Linked DNA regions of Mus musculus. The protein of the gene in region 2 binds, or shares a complex with, the protein of the main gene of each other region. Links are inferred from orthologs where the notes say so. Each region holds a gene or a part of one and is shown on either strand. Other genes may lie near its edges.

Region 1 (4,167 bases), on a different chromosome or scaffold from region 2:
AGAAACAGGAGGAAGGAATGGCTGTGTGCTTGCTTCAAGGGGACTTGAGAGGTGTGGTGGCTTTTCTGCATGTCTTGGAGAGTTTTAGGATTGACTGTAGATTTAAAGATATGAAATGGGCTTAAATTGCCAGGAAGGGCTAAGTTGGGTGGAGAAGGGAGGGCTATACTGGGCAAGCTTACATAGACACCCGGTCGTCAGTGACCTCTGCACCTCGTGGTTGAAGGTACCGCAGTGGGTAGAGCCTGCTAGTTCACAAGATTCTGAGTTCCCCTTAGCCTTCTACAGCCTTTGTCCATGGACGGGCCCATTCTGGTCAGTGTCTTAGGGCCAGGCGGGCAGCCCTGACCTCTGTCTCCTTCCCACAGTCCAGTGCATCCAGAACAAGCCCCTGTACTTCGCTGACCGGCTGTACGACTCCATGAAGGTAAGGACTGCTGGCCCAGAGGCTCCATTTCCACTAAGCTCCACCTCTGTTTTGGCTCAAACTGAATCTCTGTGACTAGTGTTTAGGGCAGTGGTTCTCAGTCTTCCAGTTGCAGCAACCCTTTAATACAGTTCCTCATGTTGTGGTGGCCCCTAACCATAGGTTATTTGGTTGCTACTTCAGAACTGGACTTTTGCTATAGTTATGAATTGCAATGTAAATATCTGAAACGCAGGATACCTGGTATGCAACCCCTAAGGGGTTGAGACCCACAGGTTGGTAAGCACTAGTTTAGAGGATGGGTTCCCACTAGCTAGCTGAGATTGTATTTGGCAGGTGAGAAAGCACCATTCCATCTTCTCTCAGTTGTTTAAATACATGCGATGCAGCTCCAGAATAAGGTGTCACTGGAGGGAAAGGGTAAGGTGACAACGGTGTCTGATTTCTGCTGGGGCTTTCAGCTATGGTGTCCCATTAGTCCCAGGATAAAAGCAAACAGGATGTGAGTGACCATCAGCAGGCACTACACAACAGCTTTTCAGTTCCCTCCCTTAAGTCCTGGCAGGAAACCCTGCAGGGCGTCCATTTTTATCTTCTTGATAAAGAAGGCAGGCAGAGCGCCTGGAGCCAAGGCCAGCTTTGCAGATGCACAGCTGGGTGATCTTCCTGCATGAGCTGCCCCGGACGAGCCTTGTTCTGGTTCTCGTCCTGCCAGGACTGGTCTGCTTTCCAGGACCCTGATTTCTTCTCTGGAGCACCCCCCCTCCGCCCCCCGTGTCCATGCTGACCCTCTGCCTGCTCTCCTTGGGCTCCCTGTTACAGATAGTTTCCTTAGTGCAGGCTATTTCATGCATTCACAAAGAGCCATAAGAACAGCGTGCCGACCCATCCTCTCTGCACCCCTAAGTGTCCACCAGCCCTTTGCTGCATATGCAAACTTGCAGGCTGGCGGTCAGAAGCAGAGCTGACTGGAGAGGCGGCTCAGCAGTTAAGAGCACACACTGCTCCTGCAGAGGCCCCCTTGGCTTCTCAGCATCTAGTTTGAATCATTCATAGGCTCCTGAAACTTCAGCTACAGGAGATCTGATGCCCTCTTCTGGCCTCCGTGTGCACCTACATGTACACCTATGGGCTCCCCCAGACACATACTTAGAAATTTTTAAATAAATCTTGAAACATTCAGATGTGCTTGGAAATCTAAGGTGCTCATCTTCATTAAGGAAACAGTCTCAGCACTGCATTTTTAAGTCTTGTAAGATCACGACCCACATGAGTGCAGGCATTAAACAAGCTGGCTGCTGTTGTCGAAATCCTGGTTTGGCTCCCAGTTCCAGGCTGGACAGCAAGCAACCATCTGGAATGCCAGCTTTAGGGGATCTGACACTCTTTTCTGGACTCCAGAGGGCTTCCCTAGACACACACACACACACACACACACACACACACACACACACGAGCCAGAAAAAACTGTGGTGGGTGCTTTTTTTAATGATAACCTTGTCAAGGAACTTAACTCTGATCATCACTTTGACTTTCAGGGCAAGGGGACTCGAGACAAGGTCCTGATTAGAATCATGGTCTCTCGCAGTGAAGTGGACATGCTGAAAATCAGATCTGAATTCAAGAGGAAATATGGCAAGTCCCTGTACTACTACATCCAGGTAAAGCCTGTGGCATGGACCTGGCTCTGCCAGGCATGGTGTGTGTGTGTATAACTATGTGGGTGTGTATATGTGTGTGTACATGTGTGTGTGCATGCATGTGCATCTGCATTGCATGTGTGCATGCATGTGTGTATGACTATGTGGGTGTGTATATGTGTATGTGCATGTGTGTGTGTGTGTGTGTGTGTGTGTGTGCATGTGTGTGTGTGTGTGTGTGCAGGTGGCTGTAGAGAACAATGGCAGAGTGGTGACCTTCCTGTTTTCTCATTTCGTAGAGAATAGACTCTGGGCACCAAGAATCAGGGATTTATATTGAAAGTAGCCTATATGATTTTCGTAGGCTCATAGGTTCAAAGCAGGTTTATACATTTCCCACAAGTGTCACTCTACAGTGGTCATAGGTGTTTATAGTGACGATCCTGCATGACCTGGTGACAATCAGAGGGACTCTGAAGGCCAAAGGCGTTTTGTATTCTATAATGCTCCTGCTTCCTGAAGATCCTCAGAGAGGCCTGACAATTTGTCTCTTGCCAACCCACCTCTTCTGTGAACTTAGTGTCTGCATTTTGGAATGCTGGAGCCTTCCTGGTGTTAACACTGTGCTCAGCTGCCAGGAGTGTTACTCTGGGGATGGAGCCTAGGCCTTGCATATGCTAAGTAAGCCCTCTACCACTGAGCTAGCAACCACAGCTTTTTAAACTTTTTTGGGTGGTGGTAGTATGTGTATTGTCTGGGTGTGGGTGTGCATGTGTGTGTGCAGGCCAGCGGTCAACCTCTGGAGTCATTCCTCAGGAACTGTCCACCTTGTTTGCTGAGACAGGATTTCTGACTGAGAGTCGGGACTCAGTGACTGAATGAGGCTGGCTGGGTGGTGAACCCCAGAGATCCTCCTGTCTCTGCTTCTCAGTGCGGGTGACATTGCACATCACCAGCCCTGGCTTCTTAAAGTGGGGAATTGAACTCAGGTCCCCATGCTTGTGTGGAAAGCGTTTTGCAGATTAAACTTTCTCCCAACCCCTCCTTCTTCTCTTTGAGAAGGGTTCTCACTAAGATGTCTGAGCTGGCCTTGAACTTGTGATTCTCCTGCCTCATCCTCCTAGTTAGCTAAGCTTATAGGTGTGCATTACCAGGCTTGGCTGCAATCCCCTTTCTAAAAGATCCTGACATTTCTATATCTATCTTGGTCTATGGTCACCAAGGACAATTGTGTGTGTGTGTGTGTGTGTGTGTGTGTGTGTGTGTGTGTTTTGGGGGGTCAGTGCAGCCATGCTTCTTAGGGCACACGATTAAAGCCAGGGACAGCTAAGCTGTTAGAAATTATTTCTCCACGTCACTAGTTATTTTCATGCATCCTTAAAGTCCACAAAACTTCAAAGGGAGGCAGCCAAGGTTCTACCCTGTCCTGTGCAGAAGGGCGCAGGTGCAGGAGAAACTCGGGCCTGCTGCAGAAGGCCCTGCAGGACCTGCAGTGTGGGAGACATTCTCCGCCCTCCCTCGCAGTCCTGACAGGGTGACGTACCATTTCCCACTGCGCTTCAGAGGGCCAGGGCTTTGGTCCACTGTGCAGGCCTGCAAGTCCCCAGGGCACACCAAGGCTATGGCGGGTTGCTGTACAATCTATTTTTTTTTTCTTCTGACACTACTTTTCTTTCTTTCTGGCCACTGCAGCAAGACACCAAGGGTGACTACCAGAAGGCACTGCTGTACCTGTGTGGTGGGGATGACTGAAGGGCTCAGCACAGTGGATCACCCAGAAGTGGCTCTACCTGTGCCCCAACCTGGCGTTCTAGAGACTTCGCTCTCCACTAATGGACCCCTGAGCTCCTCCCTGTGAGGATGATGACAGGGCTGCCGACCCTTTCCCCATCTTAGCTGCCCTTGCCTGGCTTTCTCCTCATTCTCTCCTTTATGCCAAAGAAGTGAACATTCCAGGGAGTGGGGCGTAGCGTCTGTGACATGAGACACTTCCTCTTATGTACTGTGTCGTGAATAAACCGTTTTTACTTTAGAAACAAGAATGCCGTTGCCTTTGCTTTCAAGCCACTGTTCAGAAAGCAGACATACTTGGGATTTGAT
Region 2 (4,588 bases):
ATCCTTGTGCTACTACGAATGACCTCCCTCTATATTACCCTTCTTCATCCAACCCTTCATGGACAGGAAAGGATTGATCCAGTGTTTGAAGCCAATGAGCTAGATGGGGTAGCAGGCCAGGACCTGGCCTATAAATGTCAGGGCTGAGTGCCAGTCCACCTCTCCATTCTTCTCTGGCTTCAAGACTCCTTCCTCATGACTCAGGCAGGCCTGTTGTCTTCTCTCCAGACCCCAACCAGCAGCAGATGTGACCTTTAATCCCATCCCAACTTCAGTTTGAGCCCAGAGGCAGTGCTGGAGAGAGGAGGGAGAACTGTGGGCTGGCTAACAGCACACATCTGGAGCCTTTCAAGCTAAGCCTCTGGTGGTTTCTGCCTTTAGTGTTCCCGGAGTTTGCTCTGTTGCATATATAGGAGCACGTAAACACACACAAACACACACGCACGCACACATGCACGCATGCATAAGCACGCACACACAAATACATACTTGCAATGTACTCAAAATAAGCCACCCACCCCTCCCCAACCTTTTTTAGTTTGGCCCCCACAAAGCTCCAGGTCAACTTCCAGCAGTCTCTACCACAGCCCTCAGCCCATAGCCTCCAGTCTCTCAGACAACAGCTAATAGTTTCAAAACCTTTTATTGAATTTGCTCAGCACTGTGCACATGTGCGAAGAAGCCAGAGTAAGGCACTATGCTCACAGCCAACAGGGAAGATCCCCCACTGGCAAACTACACCCCAACACTTCATCTGAGGAGTCTTCACTTCTTCCGGGGCTCCTTATCTGGGCAGCCCTCAAAGAATTCATTGCACATCATGGCAATGCAGGACAGGAAGACACAGTACTCCTGGAAGTCAACTTCATTGTCCCTGTTGCTGTCCAAGTTGCTCATCACCTTCTGGAATGCAGCTTCATCTGTCCTTTTCTGGCAGTAGAAGAGGAGCAATTAGAAGCCAACTCAAACCAGATATTTGCCTCCAGTCAGGAGCTCAGGAAGGTTTGCAAGCACTCCTTGCTAGCCTCGGGGCTAAACTATGGGATGAACACATGGGATAGCTGGGAAAGGATGTGACCACATCTTCCCCGTGCTTGTTTTAATTATCTTAATAGGAAACTGTCATAATAGTGATCCGTTAACTAATATAAGGTGTTATTGAGAGGATAATCTGCAGGCATTTGTGTGCCTCCACGATCATGTCTTCACAAATAAAAACTCGATTTCTAGTGCCCATCTCCGGAAAGACAGCCCTGATCTAGGCTGTGGTTTCAGACACTGACTGCCTAATGTGGTTGTTTTGGTTTTCCTCTGCCTCTTCAGTTATCTTCATCCTAAGCCTGTCTCAGCTGGGGGCTAGTGTGAAGTAGGTGGTTCATTGTGGTTCCGTACCAAGCACCCAGAGCAGGGATATATGCCAGCTATAGCTAAGTACTGCATCAAGACTAGTGCCTACCAGCCCCAGCCTCCTCCTGCAGATGCATCACGTGTGCAATACACAGGCAGGACCCACTTACCCCCAGGAAGCTAGGCAGCTCCCTGGTCAGTAGCTCCTTGAGCTCTGTCTTGTTCAGCTTGAACTTGTCACCCTCTTTGCCTGAGTATTTGTGGAAGGTGGACACAATTACATCCAGGGCCTCCTCCAAGGGTCTTGCCATGGTAACCGTTGAGACCTAAGGGCAGGAGACACAAAAGTAACATTCTCCAACCCACGCCAACAGTGTGTTGAGAACTGGATATGTGTTGCTGAGCATGACCCAAATCACACTCATTCTGTCCCCATTTTAAGTGCTCTATCCCAGCCAACTCTCTAAGAGATGGACCTCACCCCCTGGGGAGATCAGAGGAATGGGACCCATTGATGGCAAGAAGGTCACATGTGCTCTGGGCTCTGAAACCTGCAAAGCCTACCCCTCAAACTCTGGAGATCCATGCCAGCACCTTTCTGTGCCTCTCAGTCCTGGCCTCAACAACAGCAGTTTTCCATCAGCTTACTCACTCCCACAGCTCAACCACAAGCACCAGGCCCTGGCCCATTCTTCTCCCTCCCAGCGTTGGGCGCGGCTGCTGGCTGCCTGCCCAGAGGCAGACAAAAAAAAGTGGAAAAACCCCAGCTGCCTAATAGGAGTAAGATGAAGTGGCAGAGGTAGGGATGCAAGAGGAGAGGGTGGGGAAGCCAGGCTTTCTTGGCCTAGGTGCTATATGTTCATAGGGCTATTAAAAATAAGACACACTACAAACACGAATGCCTGCAGGAGGGTGCTGGAGAGATAGCTCAGTGGGTAGAGGTGCTTGCCACCAAGCTCCAGGGCCTGAGTTTGATCCCCACAGCCCACATGCTAGAAGGAACAGATTGACTCCCACACAAATTGTCCTTTGGCTCCCACAATGTCGCCTTGGCATTTGCTCCAGCCCAACCCATACGCTCATACACACAAATAAAAACTGTAATTTAAATACTGTAAAACAAAAAGGCCTACTGATGCCTTCGCTTTGCTTCCTGTACCCGAGTGTCCACACACTGTCTTGTATTACCCAGCAACACGAGTCAGCATCCTATGCATGACAGTGACTCCCAAGCACCACCAATATACACTATAGCAACATGCAAGCCAGCCTCAGTATCTCAAAACCTCCGGGAGCTCAGATGTAGCCATTTATACACTTTTTTTTTTTTTTTTTTTTTTTTTGGTTTTCATTCTCGTGAAAAACACACACACACACACACATACATGAACCTCCACATCAGAATCTCTCATCTGGATTTATTAAAGACATCTGTTCCCCCAGCAGCCCCCCTTTCTTCTACCCTAGCCTCAGCCTCTAATGCCGCTAGCAGTGCTATCAGACCAACACAACTCACCAGACCAAGAGAGAGGAAGTGCTGAATAGAGAGGTTTGGGGAGAGCCCAACAATCTGACCTATTTATACCCTGCCAGGCCCTGCCCATGCAGAGGATGGGGGAACATGGATACTGTGCTCTTGCTGTTGGTTGATGTAGTAAATGTCATAGCACCCTCGACCAGCCCAGTCTGGGAACCAGGCTTCCTGCTCCCTCCCCAGCAGGCACAATCAAGTAGTGAGTGAGCTCCAGTGGGCACGGCAGAGACTTGGATGGGGTGGACACCACCAAGCAGCCACAGCTCAGCCAGAAGTTTAGGAAGCTTTGAGAACGGGCAACCTGGACATGAGGTGTGGGCCACAGGAAAGGAGATGGAGATGTTATGGGCAAGGGATAAGGAGCTGCCCTGGAAATATGTGGCCCAGGAACGAAGGAGGTGACCCCAGCCAGTGGGACAATGTCAGCACTTCCCTCCAGCCTAAACAGCTTCTTGTCACAATCAGGAAGACCCAGGATAGAGGCTAGCAAGTCAGGAGGGACCTTGGGACCACCCCAGGTATGAAGTAGGAGCTATACCTAGGAGGCCATGATGGAGTTAGGGTGGCAGTGTGGCCTGGAGGTTTTCGAATGGATGGAAGCTGGAGTAAGGATATTGAGGAATGACAGGAGCATTCGGGGTTGAATGTTCAGCTTGAAGAAGAGAGTTAAAGAGGAAATAGGTAAAAGGGGGAGTCAGGATTAATCTCTAAGGATAGGGTACAAATTCGGGGATTGAGTGAAGGTTAGATGGAGGTTTGGCTTTGGGCTCCCACAACCATACTCTCCTTGCAGCATCTGGTCAGAAGTACCTCCCAAGGAGCCCCTTGTCCTCCTTGAAAGTCCAAGATAAGGACTTCTATCTCAAGACAGGGGACAGAGAGAGACAGAGACCCTCCAGTCTCATCTGATAGGACACGTGTTACCCCTACCCTCCTGAAATGTGTGCATTTCTACAGGGCCTGACACCGCTTTGGGGGTCCATGCCTTCCATGGTAAGCCTCCTACCTCCAGTAGTAAGGAGCATAAAGGAACAAGGACTCGGTCCCAAGGCCCAGTGTGTCCCATCAGAAAAAAACAAAAGTAAGCCAAGAAGACATTTCTTTATTGGGAGTTGAGGAGGCCCCTGCCACAGCGGTCCCAGTTGTGTGCACATGGCTGAGCAGAGATGTTCTTCCCTTCCAAGAAGAGAAGCGGCAAAGGCTGGCTACTGTCCCACCCCTCACAAGCTAGACATCCCTAGGAAAGCCTCGAAAGCTCATGGGTAGCTGGGTGGGGTTAGCACATCAAGAACTTGGCAAGTCTAGATTGAAAGGGGTACCACAGAGAGAGTGGGAAGGGTGTGGCTACACACCCAGGACCACCTCAAGGACAAAGATGGAGGACTGGAGCAGACCCTGCCCTTCTGGGATAGCGTACACCTTTGGATCAGAGGCTACTGGGGGCAAGGAGGCTCAGGGGGGCACTCTTTGAAGTACTCGTGGCAGTAGAGACAGAGGCTGGCAAGTGAGCGCACGTACTCCCCAAAGTCCACTTCGCAGTCTTTGTTGGTATCCAGAACACTCATGAATTTATTGTAGTCACACTCCCGGAACTCACTCTGTGGAAGGGATGAGAAGGCAGGGTCAGGAAACCAGAATAAGGAGCCAAAGTAGCTTCCCACACCACTCCCCTCCGATGGTTAGGCTGCCCCATTCCAAACCAAAACC
Region 3 (4,167 bases), on a different chromosome or scaffold from region 2:
TGTAAACTGTACGCACTCTTACATAGCCAAGCTTCGACTTGTGTACATAGTCTTGTATCTTGCACTTTGTATTTAGAATTCCTATCAGCGTCAGTTTTTAGGAACTGTTCCCTAGGGGCTAGATGGCTCACCCCTAAGTCTTGGGCCTATAAACAGCGCTGTCACGGGCATCTTTATGCACGCGTAGACGTGGTTTCCGTGCAGCGTAATTAAGCGAATCAGAGGCCTGTTGCATGTTGTACCAGACTGACTTCTAGGAAGGCTGTACCTGCTTGTACCCCCTCCCCAGGTAGCAGGTCGTCTCTAGAGCTTGCATTCCAGAGGTGAGGGAGCTTCTAGGGGTGGGCCAACTCTGCCTGTGTCTCCTCTCCCAGGTCAAGCCCCTGTTGAACTCAATAAGACATGAGGATGAGCTGTTAGCCAAGGAGGCGGAACTGACAAAGGTTCGAGAGAAACATCTGGCTGCAGAGAACAGGCTGACAGAGATGGAGACGATGCAGTCTCAGGTAGGTGTCAGTCTCCACCCATCAATCCCAGCTGCGCTCAGTGCTGCCCCCTGCTGGTCACCGTCAGGCCGGCTAGCTTACTGCTTAGAAAACCTTTGCAGTCAAGTCCAGTGGGAGAGCAGTTGTCAGCCGGGAGCCTGAGCCATAAGCACCCACCCTGGAGCTACTTGAGGGGTACACACCAGCTCTGTTGCTGTGACAGTGTGCCTAAGATAAGTCACTTAAAAGGGCTGAAGAGACTCAGCCTGTGGTCAGGCCCCTGCTGAGGCCGAGTGCCACGACAGAGAGTGGCGGAGCAGAGCGGCTCACTTCTTTGTGCTAAGGAAGCAGAGGGAAAGAAGGGGCCAGGACTCCAATATTCCCTGCAATGATGTGTGCCAGTGGCCTCTGCTCTACAGCTCTCAGCAGCTAACAGTGCCAGCCACTGGCAAACAAGCCTTTCGTGCCAGCCTCGGGGGACATTTCTTATCTGGACTACAAGGAGGCCGCAGGGAACTTAGCCTTTGCACGTGTTCTTTGCAGCTCATGGCAGAGAAGCTGCAGCTTCAGGAGCAGCTGCAGGCGGAGACAGAGCTGTGTGCCGAGGCTGAGGAGCTCCGGGCCCGTCTGACAGCGAAGAAGCAGGAGCTGGAGGAGATCTGCCATGACCTGGAGGCCAGGGTGGAGGAGGAGGAGGAGCGCTGCCAGTACCTGCAGGCCGAGAAGAAGAAGATGCAGCAGAACATCCAGGTACCCCTGCTCCTGCCGGGCAGGGCGGGCACAGTGTGGGCAGCCAGGGGCACAAGATAGGCACACAGGTTCAGTTACCACATCAGCCTTCTTTGTCCACCTGTTTGCGACAATCACTCAGTGTCCACGGCTCACATCTCCGTGAGCGCTACCCATTGAACGTTGAGGCCACTGAGTTTCTCTCTCTGGTCCTTCCTCCATCAGCCTTGGCACAGGCCTCTTTGTGGCACCCTGGGAACACTGTTGAGACTATGTCAGTCATGTGCCCCAGTTCACATGCTGGTTTCCTGAAGAGGGATCAGACGTGTGTGTGTGTGTGTGTGTGTGTGTGTGTGTGTGTGTGTGTCCTCCGTCCTTCTCACGTCTCCTCTCCCTTTAGGAACTTGAGGAGCAGTTGGAGGAGGAGGAGAGCGCCCGGCAGAAGCTGCAGCTTGAGAAGGTGACCACCGAGGCCAAGCTGAAGAAACTGGAGGAGGACCAGATCATCATGGAGGACCAGAACTGCAAACTGGCCAAGGTGGGGCCTGCTGTGCATGCAGTCATGGAGAGGGTGGGCAGAGCAGGGCCAAGACCTGCCTACCTGCCCGATCCCCCGCGGTGCCGTGGCTCTGTCCAGCAGCACAGTCCTCCCGGGCACACAGGCCCCTGGGCACCAGCACCATGTGCAGAGGACTTTTCTCATGAATGAGGAGGTTGCGGCAGGGGCTTGCCGTTTTTCCTTGGCAAAGGTCTTTACCAGCTTTTAGGATTGAGGAAACTCCAGATGGCAGCCTCTTAGTAGGGCCAGGGGTGGGGCTGCTTGTCCTTTCCCTAAACTAGTTGACACCTAGAAGTCTTTCCTACTTGACCCCAGGAAGTCTTGGATACCCACATTTGTTGTGTCTATGAACTTGGCCAACTCTTTAAGGCCCTGCCTTACCCTTGATCCATACATTTCTGGTTGAGTCTTCCTTTGGAAGAGCTAAAGTATGTACCTAGCCAGCACTGAACTCTGACATTCTTCCTCCACCTCCAGGAGAAGAAACTGCTGGAAGACAGAGTAGCTGAATTCACTACCAACCTCATGGAAGAGGAGGAGAAGTCCAAGAGCCTGGCCAAGCTCAAGAACAAGCACGAGGCAATGATCACCGACCTGGAAGGTGAGACGCTCTGGCCGTGAGCATCCTGTCCACGCAGAGCACTGAGCCCTGTGCACTCATAGGCGAGCCAGGCTCAGCCTAGGGCTAGGCCATTGCCTTAAGGCAAGGCTGTCAGGCTTCAGGGGCGCTATCTGGTTCTCCGGGAGTCAGGGCTGCAGGCTCACTGCTGCATGGCCGGACGGTTGCCTGTGTGAGGGGTGATAAGCATGAAGCTTTGATATGGCATGTGTTGGGCACAGCCATTTTAGAAGCTGTAGGACTTTTGACAGCAGTGAAGGGAAGAAGGAAGGAACCACAAACTCCAGGTGCTGTGTTGCCATGGGGACGCGCAGGCCTTGGTAGCTTCTGGGGTTCTGTTTCATCTCAGAATTGGAAGTGGGCGTGTGCATGGTGTCCCTTTAAACAGTCCATGTGTCCTACAAGTACATAGTGTTTGGTTTCATACAAGTAATTAAGGCTCCCTCCGTGTCCCTTCCTGCCCTTCCTGGCAGAGCGCCTCCGTAGGGAGGAGAAGCAGAGGCAGGAGTTGGAGAAGACCCGTCGCAAGCTGGAGGGAGACTCCACAGACCTCAGTGACCAGATTGCTGAGCTCCAGGCGCAGATAGCAGAGCTCAAGATGCAGCTGGCCAAGAAGGAGGAGGAGTTGCAGGCTGCCTTGGCCAGGTGAGGCTCTGCTCCTAGCCAGTGTCGCACGTGCAGTGGCTTCCCTCTCGTCTCATTTTTGGTGCTGAGCCATGAGCGTGCTCTCTTCTTCTGTGTCAGAGCCAAGAGCAAGACACTTCTGATCCACAGACAGTGTGTTCCAGAGTGTTTAATCTTCACAAAAGCCATCTACAGCCCATTCTCTGTAGTCCTCCCTCTCCTCATTTCCTGTAGTCCTTCCTTCCCTCCCCATTCTCTGTAGTCCTCCCTCCCCATTCTCTGTAGTCCTCCCTCCCTTCCCCTTTCACCCATTTCCTTTCCCACTTCCCCTCTATGGTCTCCTGTCCCCTGCTCCTTCCCTATTTTGTGGCTATAGGCATATATTAAAAGTCATTTTTTTCTCTTTAATTTTTTTTTTTTACGTTTACCTGTTGGGGGTGGGGGGTTGCCTAAGGATTATGTGCTGTGCTGCACATGTGGAGGTCAGAGGGCATTTTGCCTGAGTCCTCTTCTGCTATTTGTGGGTCCCAGAGATTGAGCTTAGCCCTCAGGCTTGGTTGCAAATCTGCTGAGCCATTTCAGTTCCCTGTGTACATTTCTTTTTAAATAGCAACTTTAGATTTACAGCAGAATTGAAAAGAAAGTCGAGATTTCTCATCCGTGCCCTGCCCCCACATGTACAGCCCCTCTCTTCCTCCACTTGCCACTACCATGATAGAGCGGTTTCTGCTGAGTTTAACAGATCTTAGTGATGTAAACTCATAGCACATCCACATTTTAACTTAGTTATAGTGATCATGACCTACATGTACTGTTTTATTTCTTTGTATCTTTTTGGTAAACATTTGAATTTTTATATATTTAAAAATATATTCTTAATTAAGAAAATGGAATAATTCTGTTGTTCAGTTCTCAATTGGTATTTCCCTTTAATATATATTTTTAAATTTGTATGTGTGTGGGTTTCCCCTTGGGAACTAGAAGAAGGTACCAGAGCCTCTGGAACTGGAGTTATAGACACTTGTGAGCTGCCATGTGGTTGCTGGGAATTGAACTCAGGTCCTCTGGAAGAGCAGCCAGTGCTCCACGTGGCATTGCTCTTAACCATCCTGGATGGCTTAGCTTTGCTAAGGTTGATCCTCAGGCCCCGG

Evidence for each region.
Region 1: the proteins of S100a4 (region 2) and Anxa2 are in contact, whole or in part, in a crystal structure (PDB 5LPU), measured with the Homo sapiens proteins. The link is inferred for Mus musculus from reciprocal best matches to the Homo sapiens genes S100A4 and ANXA2. Residues at the interface, in NP_002952.1 of Homo sapiens: Lys35, Leu38, Pro43, Ser44, Phe45, Leu46, Gly47, Lys48, Arg49, Thr50, Asp51, Ala54, Phe55, Lys57, Leu58, Asn61, Leu62, Gln73, Phe78, Cys81, Ile82, Met84, Met85, Glu88, Phe89, Phe93; in NP_001002857.1 of Homo sapiens: Leu13, Glu14, Pro21, Ser22, Ala23, Tyr24, Ser26, Val27, Lys28, Tyr30, Thr31, Asn32, Phe33, Glu36, Arg37, Leu40, Thr44, Gln69, Asp70, Phe73, Arg77, Arg78.
Region 3: the proteins of S100a4 (region 2) and Myh9 are in contact, whole or in part, in an NMR structure (PDB 2LNK), measured with the Homo sapiens proteins. The link is inferred for Mus musculus from reciprocal best matches to the Homo sapiens genes S100A4 and MYH9. Residues at the interface, in NP_002952.1 of Homo sapiens: Leu38, Ser44, Phe45, Leu46, Gly47, Lys48, Arg49, Thr50, Asp51, Ala54, Phe55, Lys57, Leu58, Asn61, Leu62, Ser64, Gln73, Glu74, Cys76, Val77, Phe78, Ser80, Cys81, Ile82, Met84, Met85, Cys86, Glu88, Phe89, Phe90; in NP_002464.1 of Homo sapiens: Thr1906, Ala1909, Met1910, Glu1913, Val1914, Ser1915, Leu1917, Lys1918, Lys1920, Leu1921, Arg1922, Asp1925, Leu1926, Pro1927, Phe1928, Val1929, Val1930, Pro1931, Arg1932, Met1934, Ala1935.

The regions. Positions count from the first base shown.
Region 1 is NC_000075.6:69,487,687-69,491,853, forward strand, and holds the end of Anxa2 (annexin A2), read left to right. Parts: intron 1-368; coding exon 369-427; intron 428-1,965; coding exon 1,966-2,088; intron 2,089-3,759; coding exon 3,760-3,819; 3' UTR 3,820-4,099; downstream 4,100-4,167. UniProt on the Homo sapiens protein: Calcium-regulated membrane-binding protein whose affinity for calcium is greatly enhanced by anionic phospholipids. It binds two calcium ions with high affinity. May be involved in heat-stress response.
Region 2 is NC_000069.6:90,602,082-90,606,669, reverse strand, and holds S100a4 (protein S100-A4), read right to left. Parts: upstream 2,901-4,588; 5' UTR 2,864-2,900; intron 2,040-2,863; exon of another isoform or gene 1,912-2,039; intron 1,674-1,911; 5' UTR 1,659-1,673; coding exon 1,518-1,658; intron 931-1,517; coding exon 766-930; 3' UTR 625-765; downstream 1-624. Other genes in the region: S100a3 (protein S100-A3), read right to left, coding at 4,315-4,479. UniProt on the Homo sapiens protein: Calcium-binding protein that plays a role in various cellular processes including motility, angiogenesis, cell differentiation, apoptosis, and autophagy.
Region 3 is NC_000081.6:77,772,142-77,776,308, reverse strand, and holds part of Myh9 (myosin-9), read left to right. Parts: intron 1-374; coding exon 375-506; intron 507-1,028; coding exon 1,029-1,235; intron 1,236-1,614; coding exon 1,615-1,752; intron 1,753-2,250; coding exon 2,251-2,374; intron 2,375-2,865; coding exon 2,866-3,037; intron 3,038-4,167. UniProt on the Homo sapiens protein: Cellular myosin that appears to play a role in cytokinesis, cell shape, and specialized functions such as secretion and capping. Required for cortical actin clearance prior to oocyte exocytosis. Promotes cell motility in conjunction with S100A4.